Linked DNA regions of Nothobranchius furzeri. The protein of the gene in region 2 interacts with the protein of the main gene of each other region in a biochemical or structural test. Links are inferred from orthologs where the notes say so. Each region holds a gene or a part of one and is shown on either strand. Other genes may lie near its edges.

Region 1 (7,106 bases), on a different chromosome or scaffold from region 2:
AAACCACGAAGGCTGCTAAGATGTACAACGAGGTGGCAGTGACTGGCAGAAAATGCAAGAGTATCTCTTTTGAAAAAATACTCAATATGCCCATTTTGGTCATATAAAATATGAATTAGACAAAATATTTACTTTTGCTCAGATGAAACAAGAAATGACAGTATTCAACACTGGCCTTTGGGGAATAGAAAAATGTCACTAATAACTGAGATAAGTAAGAAAATAATTCCTTTTTATCACTTAGCTTAGCATATCGAGACTGAATATGCTAATAATTCAGTCTCGATGCTAATCTGTTATTTTTTTAACTTGGGTGGCTGAACCGTACTCAGTGTTACATTAATAAAACATGATAAATGTTTACCGCATTTAAAAATGCTTTCTTGGATCGAGGAGGAACTGGACCCATTATTAAACCGGGAAGACAAACTAGAAGCCCCATGACTCCTGATGCTCATCGTGTTGTTGCTTCCAATCTGGATCCCGCTGGCGTTCTGAATAAAAAGGGAAGCTGGAAAAAACAACAACAAAGACACACAACCAACAAATTTTTCATTCTATTGCATAACAGTCAGAGTAAACAACTGATGAATGCTAAAAACACATTTCCATGTACCTGAGTCCTGTTGTGAGCCATACTTTGTATTGTTCAGATAACACCCCGTGGTTACATCAGGGACACAGGTGTCAGACACCGGATAAGTTAAGCAGGACTTCTGGCGGTCAAACTGGGGGGGTGGATGATGCTGGTTAAACTGTGGCAGAGAGGGTGTGCTAGCAGACATGTGCAGATGGGGTTCATAAGCCGAGGAGGAGTTAATGGAATGGTTGAGTCCAGAATTGAGGCGATCAAAACCCTCCTCCGGGCTGGTGGGCTGCACCATTTCTCCTTTAGTCCATGAATGAACAGAGGACACTTCCTGTGCTGGCCCTCTTGCAATGTTATCTGTGACACTGCCATAGTTAGGCAAGAAAGGGTTTGAGGGATTTTTGAGAAAGTAGTTGGAAGCTTCAGGGTGCATGTTGTAGCTGCCATATTGGTGGTACTGAAGCTCCCGGTCCAGTTTCTCCTCCAGCTCTGGTCGGTTGGTCATTTCTCTTGCGTCCGCTTGAATAAACTCTCTGTATGGGTCGTACTGGATGTTATGCAGGTCCTCGATACTGGCCTCAACTGGTATCATGGATATACTTTTATCTGAGCTCATCAAAGGAGCTGGGTGGTCTAAAAACATCAGAAAATCTTAAATCAGAAATGGTGCTCAAGGGTTTAGGCATCCTGCAAAATTTCAAACATTAAACGTAAAACAGAGCATCAAAGTAAAGAGTCGGACCTACCGTGTTCACATGCCAGACTACATTCGTTGGTCACTGATAATGATTTCATGCTTTCAACCAGTTCTTCTGGGCCATTGTATGTTTCCTGTAACAAAATAACATTGAATCCTTACTTAAAATCAGTATTTAGCTTTTAAAATCACTTGGTGGGTTAGTGAGTTCCTCCCAAAACCACCACAATTATACCGTACTATACTCACCCTTAATGTGCAAACATCTTTCTCTACATATGGTTCAAGCTTTTCCATGTACAAAGGAAGGAAAGAGCGATAAGCCTCTGCAAGAAAGGAGCAAACAGATGAGAGGGGAGGATGAAAAGATCCATCTAACATTAATAATATAATAATAATGATAATAATAATAATAATAATCTGAGTTTCAGTCTGAGTGAGACTCAACATGATGTGTTCCTGTTAGGCATGGGGGGAAAAAATCTAAGAAAAATGATACCATCTCTTTTTCCTAAGAAATGCAATTCTGAATGCCAAACCTTCAAATGTTGGTCTTTGTTCACGATTGTGATCCCAGCACCTCTTCATGAGCTGAATGATCTCTTCAGGCGTGTCTTCAGGAATGAGATGATCTGCTGGTCGGTCACCGTTGATGACACACTGGCTCATGTGTTCTTCACTCCTGGCGTCTGGAAATGAGACAGATTGTTTTAATGTTTGCACAAAAATAAAATTAAACAAGGTTTATGTTTTCAAGCTCACTTTCATATGGTTCTTGCCCAGTGAGAATGACCCAGACCACGATGGCAAAGCTGTACACGTCAGACTTCTCAGTAGAGCGGGCATGGATGCTCTTCAGGTGCTCTGGCGCCATGTAGCTCAGCGTCCCAGCACCTCTCAGTCCAGCCGATGGCTCGTTACGACTCCTTCTTTGAGACTCCTGTTTCGTGAGCTTGCTCCACATCTTGCAGGTTGCTAGGCCGAGGTCGGCGATCTAAATAACGCAGAGAATAAAGCTTTTATAATGAGTGTAAATAAAATAAAAAGTAATAGGTGTTAGATTATCGTGTACCTTGATGTGAAAATCATTATCCACTAAGATGTTTTCAGGCTTGATGTCCTTGTGGACGATGGACCTCTCTGTGAGGTACACCATCCCATCCAAAATCTCTAAGATGATCCTTCCCTTGACAGACATCGGCACATTGACCTACAAAAACAATCATTTAGTGTATTAATATTACAGTTTATAAAAGCACATCCTTATCTATTGAAGCCTAACACAGGTTTCACTATTAAACAGTTGAAAAAAAATGCTTTTTTAAGCCAAGTGGGCATTTTTAGAGTGACTGACCTTCTTCAGCACGACCAGCAGGTTGCCTCTGGGCAGGAGCTCCATAACGAGAGAGCAGTCGCTATCCTCCATGATCACACCCAGCAGCTTTACCACACGCTCATGATTGAGGCTTGCCATGATATTCCCTTCCTCCAGCAGCGACCTTTTACTGTCTCTGATGAGTATGGTGTATATATATATATATATATATATATATATATATATATATATATATATATAATAAAATAGAAACAACAAGAAGAACAAGCATGATCATCTGATATGCTGTGGTAAATGTCCTGTTTGATCTAAATTTATTTTTATTCATCATAGCAAAAATACGTAAAGTTTTATTTTTATTTAATTGTTTGATAACAGTTGATAATGTCACACACATTTCTGAGTTGTAAATTAAGAATTCTAATACTGACATTGTTTTCTTTGTTGGTAAACAAACTGCACAGTTCAGTAAAAGTCACACAATCACACTTTTCTTGAATGATTATAGATGCTTCACAAACTTTGAGTTTGAGACTCTCATACTTGCACACGCAGAGAGAAGCAGAGAAGATTAGTATAAGATCACTGTCAAAAGATTTACTTAAATTCAGTTTAGAATTTGAGATTGTTGCATTTAGAAGCTTTGATGTGTCTCAGATGCTGAAAAGACTTTGCAAAACATGCACCTGTGCAGGTCTGATCTACGAAATAGATGGGAGGCATCCTCTTGTGGAATAAAATATCTGACCCTGACAAAGATTCGTGATAATAAAAGGAAAACAGTGCACTTTATTTTACCATCGGTTGTCTATTTTCACATCAGGGTATTACTTCCTACTCCCTTAATGCTAAATTAAAAAGTCCAGCCACAGCTGTCTGTAACCAGCAATCTGGACACATGATTTAAGTTACAAGGAGGGGAATACCCGGGAATGTTCTCCCTCTGTAACAAACATAATAACTTACTCGCTTCGTAGAGGACCTGTGTACACAGTCTTCAGCGCCACATGGCCGAGGGTGACATGGTAGCACAAATAAACTTCTCCAAATCCTCCGTAGTCCAGCGGCTTCTTTTTGATGAGATCCGACGAGCTCATCTGAAGCGAGGTTTCAGGCGCGGTTGCCATTTCTGATACAAATGACATAAAAACTTCCGACTTTGCTCGTTTACACTCATAACAATGTAGTTAACATTTAGCTACACTACTATATATATGTGTGTGTAAGTAAACGCAGCGTTCAAACTAAAGCACTGACCCGATGAATTAACCACCCGTAACTTTCAAAACACAGCCCCGAGTTGAGTTAGCAAGACATGCCAAGACGCATCATAAAGCAGCTTAATGATAGCTTAAAAACTCATTAACCACGACGTAAAGTAACCTCATTATGCATTCCAATTACAAATATAAAATTAAAAGTGTCAATAAGTTATCCTAAAACTCACTTAAATATTCTTTCTCAGTATTTCCGGTGTTTCCTCGACGTCCTACTAGTAATAAAGCGAAACAAACCGATGAGCGAAACTAATGCTTAAGACTACAAACAGCCTTACAAGTTGATAACAGATTAATACACCAGGCTGGTTAATAGATTCATGTTTGCGAAGCGTTTGAAATAACTAAAAAAGGCATTAAAAACGAAACTCTAATACATGCAGTTGAAAAAAACTATGTTATATAACTTAAATATGTGTCTTCATTTAGTATAAATTAATTCGTCTGAAATTCATATTTACATGTAACGGTGCCTCCACCTAGTGGCCAAATTTGCTAACTGAATTTTACTCAACTGGTCTTCAAGTAGAACCACAGACACATTTTTTTATATTTATTTTGTTTTCAGAAGTTTGATAATGAGGTACAAAATCAAAAGTTATTGTCAACTTTATTGTAAAATCGCCACTTTTATAAAGAACATTTCTTAAGATGATCTATCACATCTTTGAAGAAGAACAAGAAGAAGAAAATATAATTTCTATAATGCCTCTCAAGATAAAAGTCACAAGGCGCTTCACAAAAACAAAAAATGTAAAAGCATGAAAAAGAATTTAGAAAATGGTAACAAATACATTTAAAATGAGCAAAAAATAGACAATTGCGATTTAAAAAATGTTAAGAAAGAGAGAGAGTGAATAGGAAAGTGGGAAATCAGTGGATCCTGAGGAAGGTGGAATAGGTGGGGAGAGCAGAATAAAGAGAGAGTGGTGAAAAAGGTCGTACAAAAGCCAGCTTGAACAGGTGAGTCTTCAGCTGTTTTTTAAAGGAGTCCACTGAGTCCACTGATCTCAGGCTCAGGGGGAGAGAGTTCCAGAGTCTGGGGGCCACAGCAGCAAATGATCTGTCACCTTTGGTCTTTAGCCTGGTGCGCTGCACAACCAGTAGGCTTTGATTACTGGACTTCAGGGACCTGCTGGGGGTGTAGGGACTAAGAAGATCACCAATGTAAGAAGGTGCTTGTCCATGACCCTATAGACCAGAACCAGGATCTTGAAATGAACCCTGAAGTTGACTGGCAGCCAATGAAGCGAGGTGATGTGGGTGTGTTTGGAGGACTTGGTCAGAAGCTGAGCACAGGCATTCTGAACCACCTGTAGACGGTTCAGGGAGGTTTTGCTCAGGCACGTGAAAAGAGAGTTGCAGTAGTCTAAGCGTGAGGAGATGAAGGTGTGGAGAACAGTCTCAAGTTCAGAGCGGGACAGAATGGGACTCAGCTTAGCAATGTTCCTGAGATGGAAGAAGGAAGAGCGAACAAGAACTTACATGAGAATGCAGGGTGAGAGCTGGGTCAAAGGTCACGCCAAGATTCCTGACGGAAGGTTTGGTGTGAGAAGCAAGCTGACCAAGAGAGTCTCTGACTTTGGGAACCAGCTTGTCTGGGGCACAGATAAGGATCTCAGTCTTATCTTCATTCAGCTGTAGAAAGCTCCCAGCCATCCAGGTTTTGATAGAGTCTAAGCAGGTGTGTAACAGCAGCAGCTCATGGAGCTTAAAGGAGATGTACAGTTGGATGTCATCTGCATAAAGATGGTAGGAGATTCCTTTGAAGGAGCTCAGGATGTGCTTAAGACGAAGCAGATAGAGGAGGAAGAGCAGAGGCCCCAGCACAGACCCTTGTGGGACACCATGGGTAAGGGAGGTGGTGGAGGACCGAAACTTGGAGACGGCCACAGAAAAGGAGCGCTCAGAGAGATAAGAGGAGAACCACTCCAGAGCAATTCCTGATAGGCCTACCCAGTCTCTCAGCCTCTCCAGTAGCAGGTGATGGCCAACGGTGTCAAAGGTTGCAGTCAGGTCCAGCAGGACCAGAACAGAACAGTCCTCTGCATCACTGTGAGTCAGAAGGTCATTAGAGACCCTAAGAAGAGCTGTTTCAGTAGAATGAGCTCTATGAAAACCTGACTGTAAGTAATCATAGATGTTATGTTCATCAAGAGCAGCTGTGAGCTGTTTAGCCACAACCTTTTCCAAGATCTTGGAGATGAACGGAAGTTTAGAGATGGGTATGAAGCTCCTATGGAGAGAGGGGTCGAGACTCGTTTTTTTAAGAAGCGGGTGGATTAAAGCGTTCTTAAAGTAAGCAGGGGCCTGATCAGTAACCAGAGAAGCATTAATTATAGAGAGCACGTTGGGACCGATGGACTGAAAAGCACTTTTAAACAAAGATGAGGGTAAGATGTTGAGGGGGCATGCAGAGGTCTTCATAGACTTAACAAGTTTGGTTAACTCAGGCAAAGAAACAGGAGCAAAGCTATCTAGGATGATGGGCCTGGTTGGAGTCGGGAGAGGCGGCGTTAAGGCTGAAGGAGAGATGCTAGATCTAACCTTCTTGACTTTGTCCACAAAGAAAGAAAGTTCTCACAGTCTGCCACAGAGTGGATGGAGGCTGTAGGAGAGGCAGGAGAGATGATACTGCTGATGGTGTTAAACAGCACCTTGGGGTTCCATTTGCTCTGGGACACCAGGTTGGAAAAATAGGAAACCCTAGCGTCTCTGACTGCAGAGTTAAAGGATGTCAGAAGATCCTTTAAGTGCAGCAGATGGACGTGGAGATGGGTTTTCTTCCACAATCACTCAATTTTTCTGCATTGGCGCGTTGGGCTGCGAAGGCTGTCATTAAACCAGGGAGTAGGGTTCACTGCAGGAACTGATCTGGTTCTGACAGGACAGATGTTGTACAGAATGGAGAGGCAGTGCTCGTTAAACTGAGAAGTTAAGGAATCTGGGTCATTATCAGAAGAACAGGGTTGATCAAAAGCAGCAAATAAATTGCTAGCTGTGCTCTCATTAAGAAAACGAGAACTAACCACACGGCCAGCAGGAGGTGGGGAAGCAGAAACTGACAAGCTAAAGAAAATGCATGGTGATCTGAATTATAAACGTCCTCAGGACAAACACTGTCAGCATTTAGACTCAGGGTAAAAACAAGGTCTAGAGTGTGTCCCTTGATGTGTGTGGGGCCAGAATCAGTTCAGTTCAGTTCAC
Region 2 (7,006 bases):
CTCCAGTCGGCTGCTGAGATCTCCCTCCTGTAGGAGAGACCAGAGTCGGCACAACAGAAGCAACGCTGGGCGTGTGTCTGCGACTTTATTCACCTCATTCTTCAGTTTGGCATCGTAGTCTCTAAACAAGCAGGTGTAGGCGTGCTGCAGCTGCGTCAGCTTCTTCCTGAGGGGACAGGAAACAGAAACGCTCAGCTTCTCCACACACACGCCCTTTCTGATGGGAATGTCGCTATCGCAGCGGGAAGCCACCTCTCCTCGGTCACGACGTGTCTCTCCGTCTTCAGCGCCTGCTCCAAGCTCTGGACCTGCAGCAGCAGCTTGTCCTTGGCCACATGGTGCTGCTTCTTCAGCTGCTCCAGCTCCCGCTCTGCTGCCTGCAAGGACTTCACCTTGCTGACCAGCCTGGAGCAAACAGGAGCAAAACCCACAGCCCAAGCATCAGAGAAGGCTCCGTGTTTACAGGGATGCTGACACGATGCAGCTGCTCACTTCTCCTCCAGAATTTTGCGCTCGTGATCGCTTTTCTCCAGGCAGCTCTGCCTCTCGTTCAGTTCTCCTAACAGGGAGGTTACCTGCACCTTCAGAGTCTCACAGTCTTTGGAGAGCTGCAAAAGCAGACGCAGCTTAAACCACCAAACCAGAGCCGCCAGCTGAAGCTCCACACTCAGACTGTCCTACCTGGGCACAGTCCTTGTCCTTCTGCTTGAGCAGAGCTTCGGTTCTGTCTCGCTGGGCCGAGCTCTTCTGCAGGTAGTCCAGCTTCTCCTCCAACTCCCGGTACCTGCAGAGGAAACTCGTGCGTCACTTCCAGCTGCAGCGACACACTCAAGCGACTGTCATTAGAGCGGTTCATCAACCAGAACAATCTGCAGCACGCGTGATGGACGAGCAACAGCAAAACACAGAACGACGAGCAGGACGGCACGAAGACAGCGAGAGGAAGAGGAGCTGCGGGCTCACCTGCCCTGAGTGGCCTGGAGCTGCTCTGTGAGCTTAGCCAAGCCCAAACTGGAAAAGGGACAAAAAGAGACGGAGGAGGAGGGGGGGGGGGGAGGAAGAGGAGGAGGAAAAGGAGGAGGAGGAGGAGGAGGAAGAGGAGGAGGAGGAGGAAGAGGAGGAGGAAGAGGAGGAGGAAGAGGAAAAGGAGGAGGAAGAGGGGGAGGAAGAGGAGGAGGAAGAGGAGGAGGGGGAGGAAGAGGAGGAGGAAGAGGAGGAGGAGGAGGGGGAGGAAGAGGAGGAGGAAGAGGAGGAGGGGGAGGAAGAGGAGGAGGAAGAGGAGGAGGAAAAGGAGGAGGAAGAGGAGGAGGAGGAGAAGGAGTTTTAAAGGTTTTAGTTAAGCAGAAGAGAGAAGTAGCATGCTAGCATCTGTAATCTGCATCAGAGTTATCCAGCAGCTAGAGTTCGGGTCAGAGCGGGTTTGGGACGCGGGACGGTGGACGGTGTCGTACCAGTCGGAGGAATGCTGCGCCTCAGAGCGAAGCAGAACGGTTTCCTCGGCGCCGCCGCTAGCCTGTAAAACACACGCACACATAGGGGAGGTGCTAGAACAGGGGTATTCAACTCCAGTCCTGGAGGTCCGGTATGCAGCACGTTTTAGTGGTTTCCCTGATTCACCTGTGCAGCAGCTCATCAGGGGCTGTGCTGGAGCAGAGTTAAAGCCAAAACGTGCCGGATACCGGACCTCCAGGACCGGAGCGGAGTTACAGCGTAATGTAAAACATAAATAAAACTACGTAGAGAAGTCTGAGCATGCTCAGATCACAGCGTCACCTGCGCCTGCAGCAGTTTGGATCGAAGATGGTCGATGCAACGCCGCATTTGCTCTTTGTCTTCCTCTCCCTCCGCCATCTTCTTCATCAGCTCCTCATTTCTCCTCTCCAGCTCTTCGGTCTTCCTCTTCAGTTCTCTCGTCCCTTCCTCTGTTTTCTCTTTGTGGCTCTTCAGCAGCTGCAGGAACTCGTTGGCGCCCTCCACAGGCTGAAGGGGGAAGCACACATGTCATCTAAAACCAACTTCAGCCCATTTCACTGGTTCAGGACCCATTCCATTTCACTCGTGGTCCTACCGCCATCGTCCCGTCGGTCTGTTTTATGGGCGGGACCTCGTTTATTTAGCTGAGTCAAGTCATAAAACTGTGTTTTAAATAATATTCATGTTTGCTGCTGTTTGAAGCAGTCTGACATTATTCTACAGACCATAATATGAGGTGGGGATGTCAGAGAGTGGGCGGGGCTACGGCACACGGGACCAGCTCACCAGGCTGCGGAGCGGGGTGGTCTGAGTCTGCTGTTCTGATTCATCGACCCGTTTCCTCTCCCACTGGTCCAGAGTCTGGAAACATAAACCAGACTTCCGATTAGAAGAGCACCAAGTCCATCGGCTGCTTCAGCCTCACAGAAGCATCCTGATACTCAAGAGCAGCGTACTGATTACAAACGTTTGCTGTATTTCTGTTGACAGCTGCAGTTTTTACTGTCTCCATCCTGACTGAACAACCACATCTCCCCGTCGGTAGCCTAACCCTAACCCTTCTACTTCTGGACCACGGTCCCCAGAATGAAGACACAATGAATGCAAGTGAACGAGGCTAACACGCTGTTTCTAATCCCGTTTGTTACGTACCACGGACGGTCCGTTCCTTTTAAACACATTCTGATGCCAACACACGGTCACGGTTAGGCAAGGCTGCTTTTCCAACAGCAGCAAAAGTTATTTTGTGAGAGAAGATTACAACTCGTCTTCGGCGAGCTTCACGTCCGTCTTCACTTTCAGCGTTTTAGAGCCTCGGAGCTCGATGAGCTAGCCAGAAGACGAGCTAGCCCCGAGACGAGCTAGCCCCGAGACGAGCTAGCCCCGAGACGAGCTAGCCCCGAGACGAGCTAGCCCTGAGACGAGCTAGCCGTTAAATGAGCTAGCCCTGAGATGAGCTGCTGAAAAGGGCCTGAGACGCTTTGAGGACCAGCTCCCACAAAAAGACACTTGGACGTGCGCTAAAGCACTTTACTCAACGACTCAGAGGGAGTCGGGCTGAAGGTTTTAACGTTTTCTTACAGCTTCCTCTCTCTCGCTGGAGCGTGCTAACCTGTGGTCCGTCCACCAGCCCGTTTCTGGACGGGCGTCCCTGTAGGTCTTCAGTCTGGCTGGAGCTGCCGGAGAGGTTAGAGGAGGAAGCCGGTCCGTTCATCATGCTCTGTAAGGAGTGGTTCTCCTGGGCCAGTCTCTCCACCAGGGCCCGGGCCTCCTGGAAACGAAGGCTGAGAAACTCCCGCTCCTCCCTGGTTTTACGCTGCCATCCCTCCATCTCCTCACAGCGCTGACGCAGGGCCTGGTTACTCCGCCGCAGAGCCTCTGAGGAACAGATGGATGAAAGGAAACAGAACAATTATTAAAACTTCCTCTGTCCTCCACCCGTTACCTGTACAAATGGCACCTGTTAGAACTGGTTACCAGTGTAAAGACACCTGTCCACAACCTCAGTCACACTCCAGACCACTATGGCTAAGACCAAAGAGCTGTCAAAGGACGTCAGAACCAAACTGTGGGTCCCAACTCTGGTATCTGCAACAGGTACGCGGCAGCTTGGTGAAGAAATCACCTGCGAGAGCAACTATTAGAAAGTGGAAGACAAACAAGACCACTGATAATCTCCCTCCATCAGGGGCTCCATGCAAGATCTCCCCCCGTGGGGTCAGAACAATCACAATAACGGAGAGTTAAATCCCAGAACTAGACGGGGGACCTAGTGAACAAGGCCACCAGGGACGTGTCCCCCTGCTGAAGCCAGTACACGTGCAGGCCCAGCTGAAGTCTGCTCGAGAGCATCTGGATGGTCCAGAAGAGGACTGGGAGAATGTCAGGTGGTCTGATGAAACCACATTAGAACGTTTCGGTAAGAACTCTACTCGGCGTGTTTGGAGGAGAAAGAATGCTGAAGAACACCACATCTACTGTAAAGCATGGGGTGGAATCATAATGCTTTGGGCTGTTTGTCTGCACAGGGACCCGGACGACTGACCCGTGTAAAGGACAGAAGGGGGCGGTGTATGGTCATGTCTGGAGTGAAAACCTCCTTCCACCAGCAAGGGCACTGAAGATGAAACGCGGCTGGGTCTTCCAGCATGACCGTGATTCCAAACACCGTCCGGGTAACGAAGGAGGGGCTTGGCCAGTCTCCAGATCTCAACCCCACAGAAATATTTGGAGGGAGTTGAAAGTCAGTGCAGCCCAGCGACAAAATAAACGGGAGTCTTTTCATTAGTAAGGTTTTCAGACAGCCATGTCGGTGTGGTCTAGACAACTTCACAGTCGTGTTTCCCGTCTTCGGTTAAACAGGCAGACAGATTTGGACATCCTCTGAGAAAAGTGTGTCCAAGGGTTAGGCCCTACGACAGGCCCACTCGACCCCATTCCGACAAAGCTGCTCCGATCTGTTGCTCCTACAGTAGCTGCTGCAGTCACACGTGTGATGAACGCTTCACTGACCTCACTTCCCACCTCTCTCAAGCACGCTCAGGTTAAACTGCTGCTAAAAGACCTTCCCTTCCTCCAGATCATGTGGAGAACTACCGAGCTATCTCTCCTCCCATTCCTGTCTAAAATCATTGAAAGGGCGGCCTTCAAGCCGATCTTAGAACACCTGTCACAAAACTGTCTGCTTGACCCTTCTTCTACCAACCCGGGTTAAAAGATGGCCACTCCACTGAAACGGCTCTGTTAGCAGTGACTAACAGCGACTGCCAAATCCTCAGTACTTATCCTGCTTGACCAATCGGCTGCATCGGACACTGTGAACCATGGCTTCCTTTAGTCCACACCCTCTAGCGTGGGCATCACAGGGAAAGCACACTCCTGGTTTGAATCGTACCTGACAGGACCATCATTCAGTGTATCGTGGCTAGGACAGTCTTCTGCTGTTCACCATGTTGCCACAGGAGTCCCCCAGGGCTCTGTACTAGCACCTCTTTGCCATATACACCACCTCACTGGGTGAGATCATTCAATCACATGGCTTCTCCTACCACTACTATGCTGACGACACCCAGCTCTATCCGTCATTCCCGCCGGATGAGCCCACAATTTCCACACACATCTCAGACTGTCTTTCTGACACGTCATGATGGATGAAATCTCACCATCTTGATCCCGACTCTGACCAGAGAATGCTGCTGTTGTGTCCTTGGGCAAGACACTAAACCCCCCTTGCCTGCTGGTGGTGGTCGGAGGAACCGGTGGCGCCTGTGCTCGGCAGCCTCACCTCTGTCAGTGCGCCCCAGGGCAGCTGTGGCTACATCGTAGCTCATCACCACCAGTGTGTGAATGTGTGGGTGACTGATCCGTGTTGAGGAGTAGCTACTCCTGTGATCAGCTGACCTGAGCGAACGAGCGGGCGTGTAGCGATGCAGTAGCTCAGACAGATAGGGAGGGGCCGGGCCATTTAAGCCCTTAAAAGCAAATAAAATCATTTTAAAATCAATCCTAAAATGAACAAGCAGCCAGTGCAGGGAGGCTAAAATGAGGGAAAACCTTTGATTGCCACTTAAAAGGCGAGCTGCAGCACTCAGAACCCTCTGAAGCTGAGCAAGGCAGGATTCACTGACTCCTACCTCAAATGCCAACATACTATTCTGATAGGAAGTGGGTGGTTGATTGTGTCGAGGCTGCTGAGAGGGCTAGTAGAACCAAAACCGCTGCCGATTTAGCATCAGCAGCTAAAGAAATGTTGCTACGGACAGCTAGAAGAGCAGATTCAGAGCTGTGCCGACAACAAGAAGCAGACTGAAAAACTCAAGGATTGGATTGTCATCTAGGAAAGTCTGGAACTGCATAAAAGCAGCATGTGTTGATCCTGATAAACTCAGCCTGTCGTGGACACCGCTCCTGCATCCAATCACCGTTACAGTAAAGGCTGAAATTACTGTTTGAATTTACTTTGTTCTTTTACCTCGATAACTCTAAACTTAAACGACTTCTGAAAATGCTAAATCAGACACACGGAAACCTAAAAGCCCCGCTGAGCATCTGGTAATACACACAAGCGTGACCGTCGTGTGTTTTTAGGTACCTCGAAGCTGCTGGTTGTCACACAACAATCTGGTCACCACTTCATTACCAGCGAACTCTGGTGGGACCCTGAGGACCCCCCCGCAGTCCTCTCCTGACATGTCCCACTGCATCGGACCATCAGGCTGCGGCTGCACCATTCCTGCAGAAGCAAAGGCTGGGAATTACAGAGATCTAATCCATTCACTTCTTCATATGAAGAACTCAGACTCTGGCGGTTCCTGAACCTGTTTCCTGGTTTCCTTTGGAGACTTGTTACACTTTTAGCTCATTTTTTAATAACGTCTAAAATCCAGCCTTCGTGGCATTTATTTAAACGGGCATTGGAGAAACTTTTTTGTTAGTCAAATTAAAACATATTGTGTACGTTGGTAAGAAAGACTAAAAAACCTGTTACCATCAACACTGCAGGTCAGTTCAAACCAGCAGAGGCAGGAACAGTTTGTTTCACCACCAACAGAAAATCATCCCAGAAACTGCAGAGTTCAGTCACTTCTTTACTGCTTTATGACGTCACACCTGTAGTGAGTGAATCTCACCACTGTGGGATTAATAAAGTCTATTCTATTCCTTTTTTTATGTTATTGTGGTCGCTCCGATTGTCATCTAATGCAACAACAGACAAAACAGCAACTTTTGCTGCTTCTGTAGCTCTAGTAAGAAAAAAGTTTCCCCTGGTTCGCTAACTACTTCCTTACTTATAAATATGGTTTCCAATAATCTACACATTGAAGTCAGAAGTAAATTAGAAAAAAGAACAATCAAGCAATTATCTGAGTCTACAGCCGATCGCTTTCAAATGCACAAAAATATCAGAAATACAAATGGTTCTAATTCTAGTTATCACCATGTTCTTATTGTTAAATTCACATTACTATAACATACCAAATGGCTCATAAAGATGAAAAAACAGGAAGTCACAAGGATCTCCTGCATGTATATT
Region 3 (7,106 bases), on a different chromosome or scaffold from region 2:
AGCGCCCACCGCCCCTCGGTAATACCTGCAGCACACGCACCAAACATCAGCAGCTTCCAACCAGGAAGGAGATCAGACTTTAAGCCCAGGGTCTCGTGACCTGGTCAGGTCTAAAACTTGTCTACGGACCAGTTTAATCTGAAAATGTGCATATTTTTGCATGTTTGTGTCTCCGGCCAGTCACCCACAGTGAGATTCTGGAATTAGGGGTAAAGGCAGCAAAACATAACCAATCCTGTCATAGTAAATTAAAACCGATTCCGTGTGACATCAGTGCTGGTCCAACCCAACCAGACCTGTGGTTCTGTACTCACGCTGATGTGATGGCCCGGTAACGTTCTTGTCCAGCTGTGTCCCAAATCTGAGCCTTCACCGTCTTGCCGTCCACCTGGATGCTACGCGTGGCGAACTCCACCCCGATGGTGCTCTTACTCTCCAGGTTGAACTCGTTACGAGTGAAGCGAGACAGCAGGTTACTCTTTCCTACACCCGAATCACCGATGAGGACCACTGAGGCAAAGCAGGACAAAGGAAACACATCAGACATCCTGAATCTAGAAAACCGCAGAAATAAAGATAAAAACAGTTTAAAGTCCAAGTAACAAGAATGAGGAGAAACTAATGGATGTCTATTTTATTTATGATGCAGGATTATTGGTGCTCCCTGACCCACTATCCTTAAAGAACCTTTAGAACAACATCAAGCATCCAGAACCCGGGAGCGGTTCTAGACCTTTCTGGCTCTGGTACAAAAGTTTCTATTATAGCCATTTATTTTAGGGGTGCACCAATCTATCGGCCCCAATCTCGGGTTCTTTTCAAGCCAATCATTGCTATAGAATAATTTTTGAACATGCGTGTGAAAACGGGTACAAAAGTTTTGTTTTCAAATTTTGAAAAATGAAAGTCTAAAGGAACAAATATGATTTTGTTGTTCAAACAGCAATGCTAAAGACGTTCATTTATGCTTGAAAGTAGGGATGCACCGATACGATACTGGTACCAATACCGATACCAGTATTGGTAAAAGTTAGCCGATACCAGGAACTGATACCAATGCAGTTGCTTGAAAATGGCTTCCCTGTAACTTGTCATTTCTGTTCACCTAATATTTTAGTTTTGTGATGATTTCCATTCATATATTTTACTTTTTATCTACTTCACAAACTTTTCCTGTTGAAAATCAAATCTGTATTCCAAATCATCGCATTTTTTTTGTTTGGTAGAAGTATCGGTATTGGTAATCGGGATCGGGGAGTACTCAGATCCAAGTATCGACATCGTATCGTTTTGGAAAAAAGTGGTATCATTGCATCCCTACTTGAGAGCATTACCTCATGTCCAGTTGAAAATGGTATTGTTTCATGAGTATTCATGTTGGTTTTCACAATAAAAGGAAATTGAAACATTGACATAATCTGCTTTTAGTTGAGACAAAAATCAGTATCAGCAAGTCTGTTTTTATTTTTTTCAAGATTGGTGAACAGTGATCAGCCAAAAACTGCAATTGGTGCACCCGTAATTTATTTATATTTTTTTATTTGTCTCTGGGCGTTTTTTACTCAATATTTTTTAAAGAGACAATTTGAAGTTTTTACCATAAATTTCAGGAAATATCCATCAAAATGTTGTTGAAAATGAATGAAATAATTCCCAGTTGTTGCTTTGTAACATATAACCATAAAAATCTGGTCTAAAATACATAGGAGCGGGATCGTTTTATCAGGATGTTAGGAGTCCCACCCCCTTGGCCCCGTCCACTGACAGGTGCCATGTTAAAGAGCAAGTCACCCCTACCAGAGTCTCACTCCACTCCCATTTCCTGTTTAAAAAATGCTGCTGCCTGGCAGACCGAAAGGGCAGAGCCGCTAACACACACACACACAGGCTCACATTGGCCGTGTTCAAGATGATCCAGTTCTGCGCAGATTCGATCACCGGTGATCGGCGCGCAGTGCATGCTGGTTAGATTTGTGTCTGACTTGACGCCGACTTGCTCTGATGTCATGCCTACGTAGGCAACGATAACCTCGTGAGATCAAGGCGGCCGCAGATTTTGGAGCAAGGCGCTGCAGTTGCTCTCCGCCGGTTGCAAAACCTAGGGCGTGACAGGAAACGCCTCGCTCTCACCTGATCTAAGATGACAACTATATAGGCCATAAAGAGAAATGTGATTTGTGTTTTTATTGTCACATTTCCTATGAGCACACTAAAACTCTACAGCTGCTAACCTTTACTTATTATTACTTCATATGCACATGTCAACATTACATGATATTGTCAGGATGTGTTTCAGTTGCTAACAAGCACCAGAACTTTAATTACAAATTAAACAAGTATGAATGAATGTGATATCTTTATCCATCATCACCTGCGAGCTACATGTAGGGAAATTTGATCATCTTAAGCCTGGTTCATGCTTCTCCGTCAGCTCCGCAAAGGACAGACACGCACGGATTGACGGAAGCGTTTTGCTCTCATACTTCTCCGTCTCCTGGAGAGTGTTGCAAAGCAATTCCCCAGCAGGACAACAGAGGACGTAGGCTGTTCTGTGGTATCCTGTCATGCATCCGGTCCAAGATGGTGTGTTTATATTATGTTTTTTTGTATATAAGAGACTTTTTAACAGACAAATTTGTCTCTCATTCTCCTCCACCTCTTCATGCGCTCGCCACCTCTAAACCCACGTTTCCTGTCATTTCCATCCACTAATAAAACGCTTGCTGCGCATCTTTTCACTCCTCCTGTCACTGGGGAATTAAACATTCATATTTTAGAGTTTTTTCGCGAGGTATTCTTCAAGCTGCTCCGTGTCTGCCACTAGTTATCCTCGGCTCTCTTTATGTTTTTGAGGGCGCAATGGCGGCGCTGTAGACAACAGCGGCGTCCTGACCAATCACAAGCTTGCGTTCTCCGTCTCGACTGACGGATGTTTAGAAAAGAGAGCTCGACTCCGTCCGTCCTCGCGGAGCTCTCTGACGTTGCGTGTCTCAGCACTGACGCAGATGGAGGAGCATGAATCAGGCATTAAACGCCGGCTTTCAGCCACTCCCCCTGCTGCATCCGTCTGCTTTCATCTGTTTTCCAAGCGAGGCGCTGCTCAACTCGAACAAGGCCAACAACATTGTGATCTCATAATGTACCAGCTGACATCATAGTGTACTTCTCAGCCAATAGCGATGGCAGATTTAAATTTGAATGCAGTGCAGAGTTTTTACCTGACAACATTGACAGTTTTAAGCAGAATATTTCAATTTTAACTAAGATGCACTAAAATAAATCGCTTGGGGGGGGGGTTGAAAAAGACAAATACAACCGTTTTACTTCTTATTCAGGAGTTATTTTAATGATACTTGATTATTTTATGTTCTCTTTGGTGATTCTGCTCCTTTCAGGATTTGGTGTTTTTATAAACTGATAAATGAAGTTAAAACTCTCGGGAAAACAGGAGGTTAGTGGAAGAAATGTGAGAATACGAAACCGGAAGCTCACGTGAGAGTGGAATATAAATAACCCACAGATGAACAACCTGATCAATAATCTGATATTAATAACCTGATCAATAAAGCAGTTAAGAGTTTTTCGTCCAGTTTCACCTCAGCTGGACCAGCCCGGTTCTGCCTCGGGCTCTGAATTTGCTGTTAAACGTCGTCTCGGGCCCGTTAACGGTGCTGCTGGCAGATCGGTCCGGATCGCATCAGGAGGATCTGATCATGTTAGGTCTAGGTGTGTCCCGCTGGCTGTCGGCAGGCTAACCCGAGCTAACCGCTATCCCGAACCAAGATGCGCTTTAGCACGAACAACAAGCACCGGATGAACAATTTCCTACCCGAACGAGTCAGACATGGTTCGTCGGGAGTTCGGAAAACCGATTCAACGCGCTGACTCACGTCAGAGAAGTTTGTTGAGACCCGAACACAAAAGGCTGACGGCGGTTCCGTTAGCTCCACCGCCTAGCCTGCCAAATAACAACAAACACCGCTTTACCTTTGAATAAATAGTCGTATTCATCATCTCTGGTGCCCATCGTCCCAACACTGGAGAGCGGGTCCAAAAATGATTTTGTTAAAACAGAAAAGACGAGATTTTACTGTCCGACGGGAATTAGATGGGAGATAGTTTCTTCTTCGCTGGAATCCTGACAGCGGAATGCAGCGGATACTCTGCCCCCCAGCGGCCACAGGACGGAGCGCAACCTGGAGGTGTGTGTACCGAAAATGCCAGCCGAGACATTTGCATGCATTGTTACGGGAACGCGCATATTGAGGAAGACATTAATTTGGAGGCCTTAAAACTCATAAATACATTATTTTTTCATTAAATGTAGAATACTGTATGCTCACCAAGTGTCAAATAAATAAAGTGATTTCAAACTTAAAAGTTATTTATTTTTAGGCATCAATACATTCATTAATAACAGTATAATTAGGCTATGAATAAAGTATAAAAATGATGCTAACCTGAGTGTTTATCTCTTCAGTTAGTTAAAGTGACCTGCACATCTCGCTGTAGCAGGGCAGCTGTGGCTACATTGTAGCTCACCATCACCAGCATGTGAATGTGTGTGTGCATGGGTGAATGGCTGGTTCGTTGTAAAGTGCCTTGGGGGGTTTTAGAATCCTAGAAGGCGCCACAGGCCATTTACCATTTTGCATAACTAAATCTCAACACTTCTAGGATGGAGGGGTTGAAGGGCTTCTGGGGCTAGTGTCCCATGTCCTTCAGTCCCAAAATAAACAATACAGATATTAAGCTCACTATAGTAGCCCAGCATAGCCTATACATGTGAACATGTAGGATAATGTCATTTGATCCACAAGAGTTTAATCTTCTAAGACATTGGTTCTCAATCCTGGTCTCCAAAGGGCGGTATCCATGTTTTCGTTGTTCCTCTATACTCTACATAATTCAGTGGTTGAATCACCTGTTCAGAAGCTCCTCAGGCTCCGTAAAAGCCTGTTAATCACCTGCTGATTACAACCAGGTGTGTTGAAGCAGGGAAACAACTAAATCATGCTGGCTATCGGGACCACCCCTGCTATAAGATAACAGGGAGGATTTTCTGGGCCTGCTGTAATTTGTGGTGGTCAGTATCCCCCTCTTTTCACCCCATAATTGATCATGCAGGTATGAATCTCACTCCAGGAGGCCTGTTTTTATTTTCATCTCTTAGAGATTCTGAATGAAGTCTCCTGACGTCAGGAGGAAGCCCCGAACTTGAGAAACTCCACAAGATATATTTATTTCTTTAAGAAGTTCCTCCATTTTATGTTCTGTAGAGACAAAATTATTTAAAAAAAAACGTCAGATTATTTATTTACTCTCTGTAATAAAAACCAGCACATGACGTTGCATCTTACATTTTTGCCCCAGGTGCTTTTGGGTTTCTTAGTCTTCATGTCCTCCAGAGACTCGTAGGTGTTGCTTTGGACTTCAGTGGCCTCTCCAGGGACCAGCTCATAGGTGTCTTCTGTCTGCGTAGTTGGTGCTGAACCCTTAGAAACCTCAGCGTACATGACACCCCGCCGCTGAGCTGCACTTTCTCCAGGTACCCTGGAGGGCTCGTACAGAGGGTTAGACCTCAGCTGGTCCTGGTTTCTGATCTGCTGCTCTGACATGAAACTTCTCAGATCTCCTTCGGGGGCGTGGAGGGAGTAGGTTTGACAGGTGACCCTTTTTGGAGAAGAAGGTGCTTGAAGGGAGAGGCTGCTTAACTGGTTGGAGTATGCCTCCTCCTCCTCCACTTTGGTGCCCAGGTAAGGCAGAGACTGGCTCCTGGTCTCCACCTGGGTCAGATCGGGACATTCCAATTCTAAAGGTCTAAACAAATCCCCATTGATCTTTTGAGTTGGGTTGGTTCTGAGTCTCTGAGCTTTGTTGGACTCAAACTGGGTTTCACTAGGATGTGGTGTCGTTTCAGGCAGAGATCCACTCAGGCTGAAGGCTGGAGGCATTCCCCTCTTTGGTACTGGAGGCAGAACCTGGAACACAACGTGGGGATTAGGGTCAGGTCAGAAACACAGGTATAGAAGATTTTTAAAAGGTATCTGATGTTTAGGTAAAGTGAGCCGTTTTCATGTTTGCTCTTTGCAGCGTACCAAATGGCCAAATATTTCATCTAAATGACCAGAAATGAACTTTTAACTTACAGACCAAACTTCTTCATACAGGTCTATCTGACACCGTGGTGCCGACATGAAGTCTATGTACGTCACGAGTCCTCATGGCTGCAGAGGATGCAGGACTTCTTATCTATCCTCTTTGAATTCAATTCAAGTTTATTTATATAGCGCCAATCACGACAAGAGTTGAATGAAGTTTATCTTCCCTGGCTCCAATGACTACATAAGTTTACAAGTTTTCATAATCATATTTTGTTGAATGGACAATATGTTTAAATCCAAAGTGTTTTAATAACATGTCTAATAATGAATGATGGGAAACATGGACGCAGAGCTCAGATTTGATTCTCAAGTAAATGGAATCGTGAGATCTCGCTATTTTCATCTCTGGCAGATAATGAAGATTAAGCCATTTCTGTCACGTAGCCATTTGGAAACTGTAATCCATGCCTTTGTTACCTGCAGGCTGGATTATTGCAACTCGCTATATGCGGGGCTTGGGCAAGCTCCAATAGCACGCCTCCAGGCAGTTTAGAACTCTGCAGCTCGGTTGTTAACATGTACCAGGAGGTCTGAACATATTACACCAGTCCTACGTGCCTTGCATTGGCTCCCTGTCTCCCATCGCATCAGGTTTAAGGTAATCCTGTTTGTGTTTAAGGCGTTAAACTGGGGGGGCACCTAAATACCTGTCAGACATCATCCACCGGCATGTCCCGGTGCGTTCCCTTAGGTCAGCTGACCAGAGACTAGTAAGTGTGCTCAGGTACAGCTTGAAGTCTCGTGGGAGCCGTGCCTCCTCAGTGCTAGGACCAAGGCTCTGGAATGAGCTGCCAGCCGATATGAAGCAGGCCCAATCACTTGAGAGCTTAAAAAGCCGACTAAAAACCCATTTGTTCTCGATGGCGTTTGGACATTGAAGTTGGGTTTGGGTGGGCAGCGTCACTTTGAATGTTTCTGGATCTGATTCTGGAAACAGGGCTG

What was found.
Region 1: the proteins of ikbkg (region 2) and ripk1l form a complex in vitro, tested with the Homo sapiens proteins (4 studies listed by BioGRID). The link is inferred for Nothobranchius furzeri from reciprocal best matches to the Homo sapiens genes IKBKG and RIPK1.
Region 3: the proteins of ikbkg (region 2) and rab11a are reported together in a solved structure, tested with the Homo sapiens proteins (2 studies listed by BioGRID, with this or other methods). The link is inferred for Nothobranchius furzeri from reciprocal best matches to the Homo sapiens genes IKBKG and RAB11A.

The regions. Positions count from the first base shown.
Region 1 is NC_091751.1:51,502,703-51,509,808, reverse strand, and holds the start of ripk1l (receptor-interacting serine/threonine-protein kinase 1), read right to left. Parts: upstream 3,978-7,106; 5' UTR 3,768-3,977; coding exon 3,589-3,767; intron 2,798-3,588; coding exon 2,641-2,797; intron 2,497-2,640; coding exon 2,359-2,496; intron 2,281-2,358; coding exon 2,049-2,280; intron 1,976-2,048; coding exon 1,826-1,975; intron 1,613-1,825; coding exon 1,536-1,612; intron 1,421-1,535; coding exon 1,336-1,420; intron 1,223-1,335; coding exon 617-1,222; intron 512-616; coding exon 365-511; intron 1-364. UniProt on the Homo sapiens protein: Serine-threonine kinase which is a key regulator of TNF-mediated apoptosis, necroptosis and inflammatory pathways.
Region 2 is NC_091755.1:44,544,333-44,551,338, reverse strand, and holds part of ikbkg (NF-kappa-B essential modulator), read right to left. Parts: intron 6,206-7,006; 5' UTR 6,204-6,205; coding exon 6,065-6,203; intron 3,352-6,064; coding exon 3,086-3,351; intron 2,335-3,085; coding exon 2,260-2,334; intron 1,981-2,259; coding exon 1,774-1,980; intron 1,514-1,773; coding exon 1,452-1,513; intron 1,012-1,451; coding exon 964-1,011; intron 785-963; coding exon 682-784; intron 609-681; coding exon 493-608; intron 406-492; coding exon 253-405; intron 167-252; coding exon 1-166. UniProt on the Homo sapiens protein: Regulatory subunit of the IKK core complex which phosphorylates inhibitors of NF-kappa-B thus leading to the dissociation of the inhibitor/NF-kappa-B complex and ultimately the degradation of the inhibitor.
Region 3 is NC_091749.1:66,766,635-66,773,740, forward strand, and holds the start of rab11a (ras-related protein Rab-11A), read right to left. Parts: upstream 4,153-7,106; 5' UTR 4,028-4,152; coding exon 3,988-4,027; intron 511-3,987; coding exon 315-510; intron 26-314; coding exon 1-25. Other genes in the region: SH2 domain-containing protein 7, read right to left, coding at 5,310-5,981. UniProt on the Homo sapiens protein: The small GTPases Rab are key regulators of intracellular membrane trafficking, from the formation of transport vesicles to their fusion with membranes.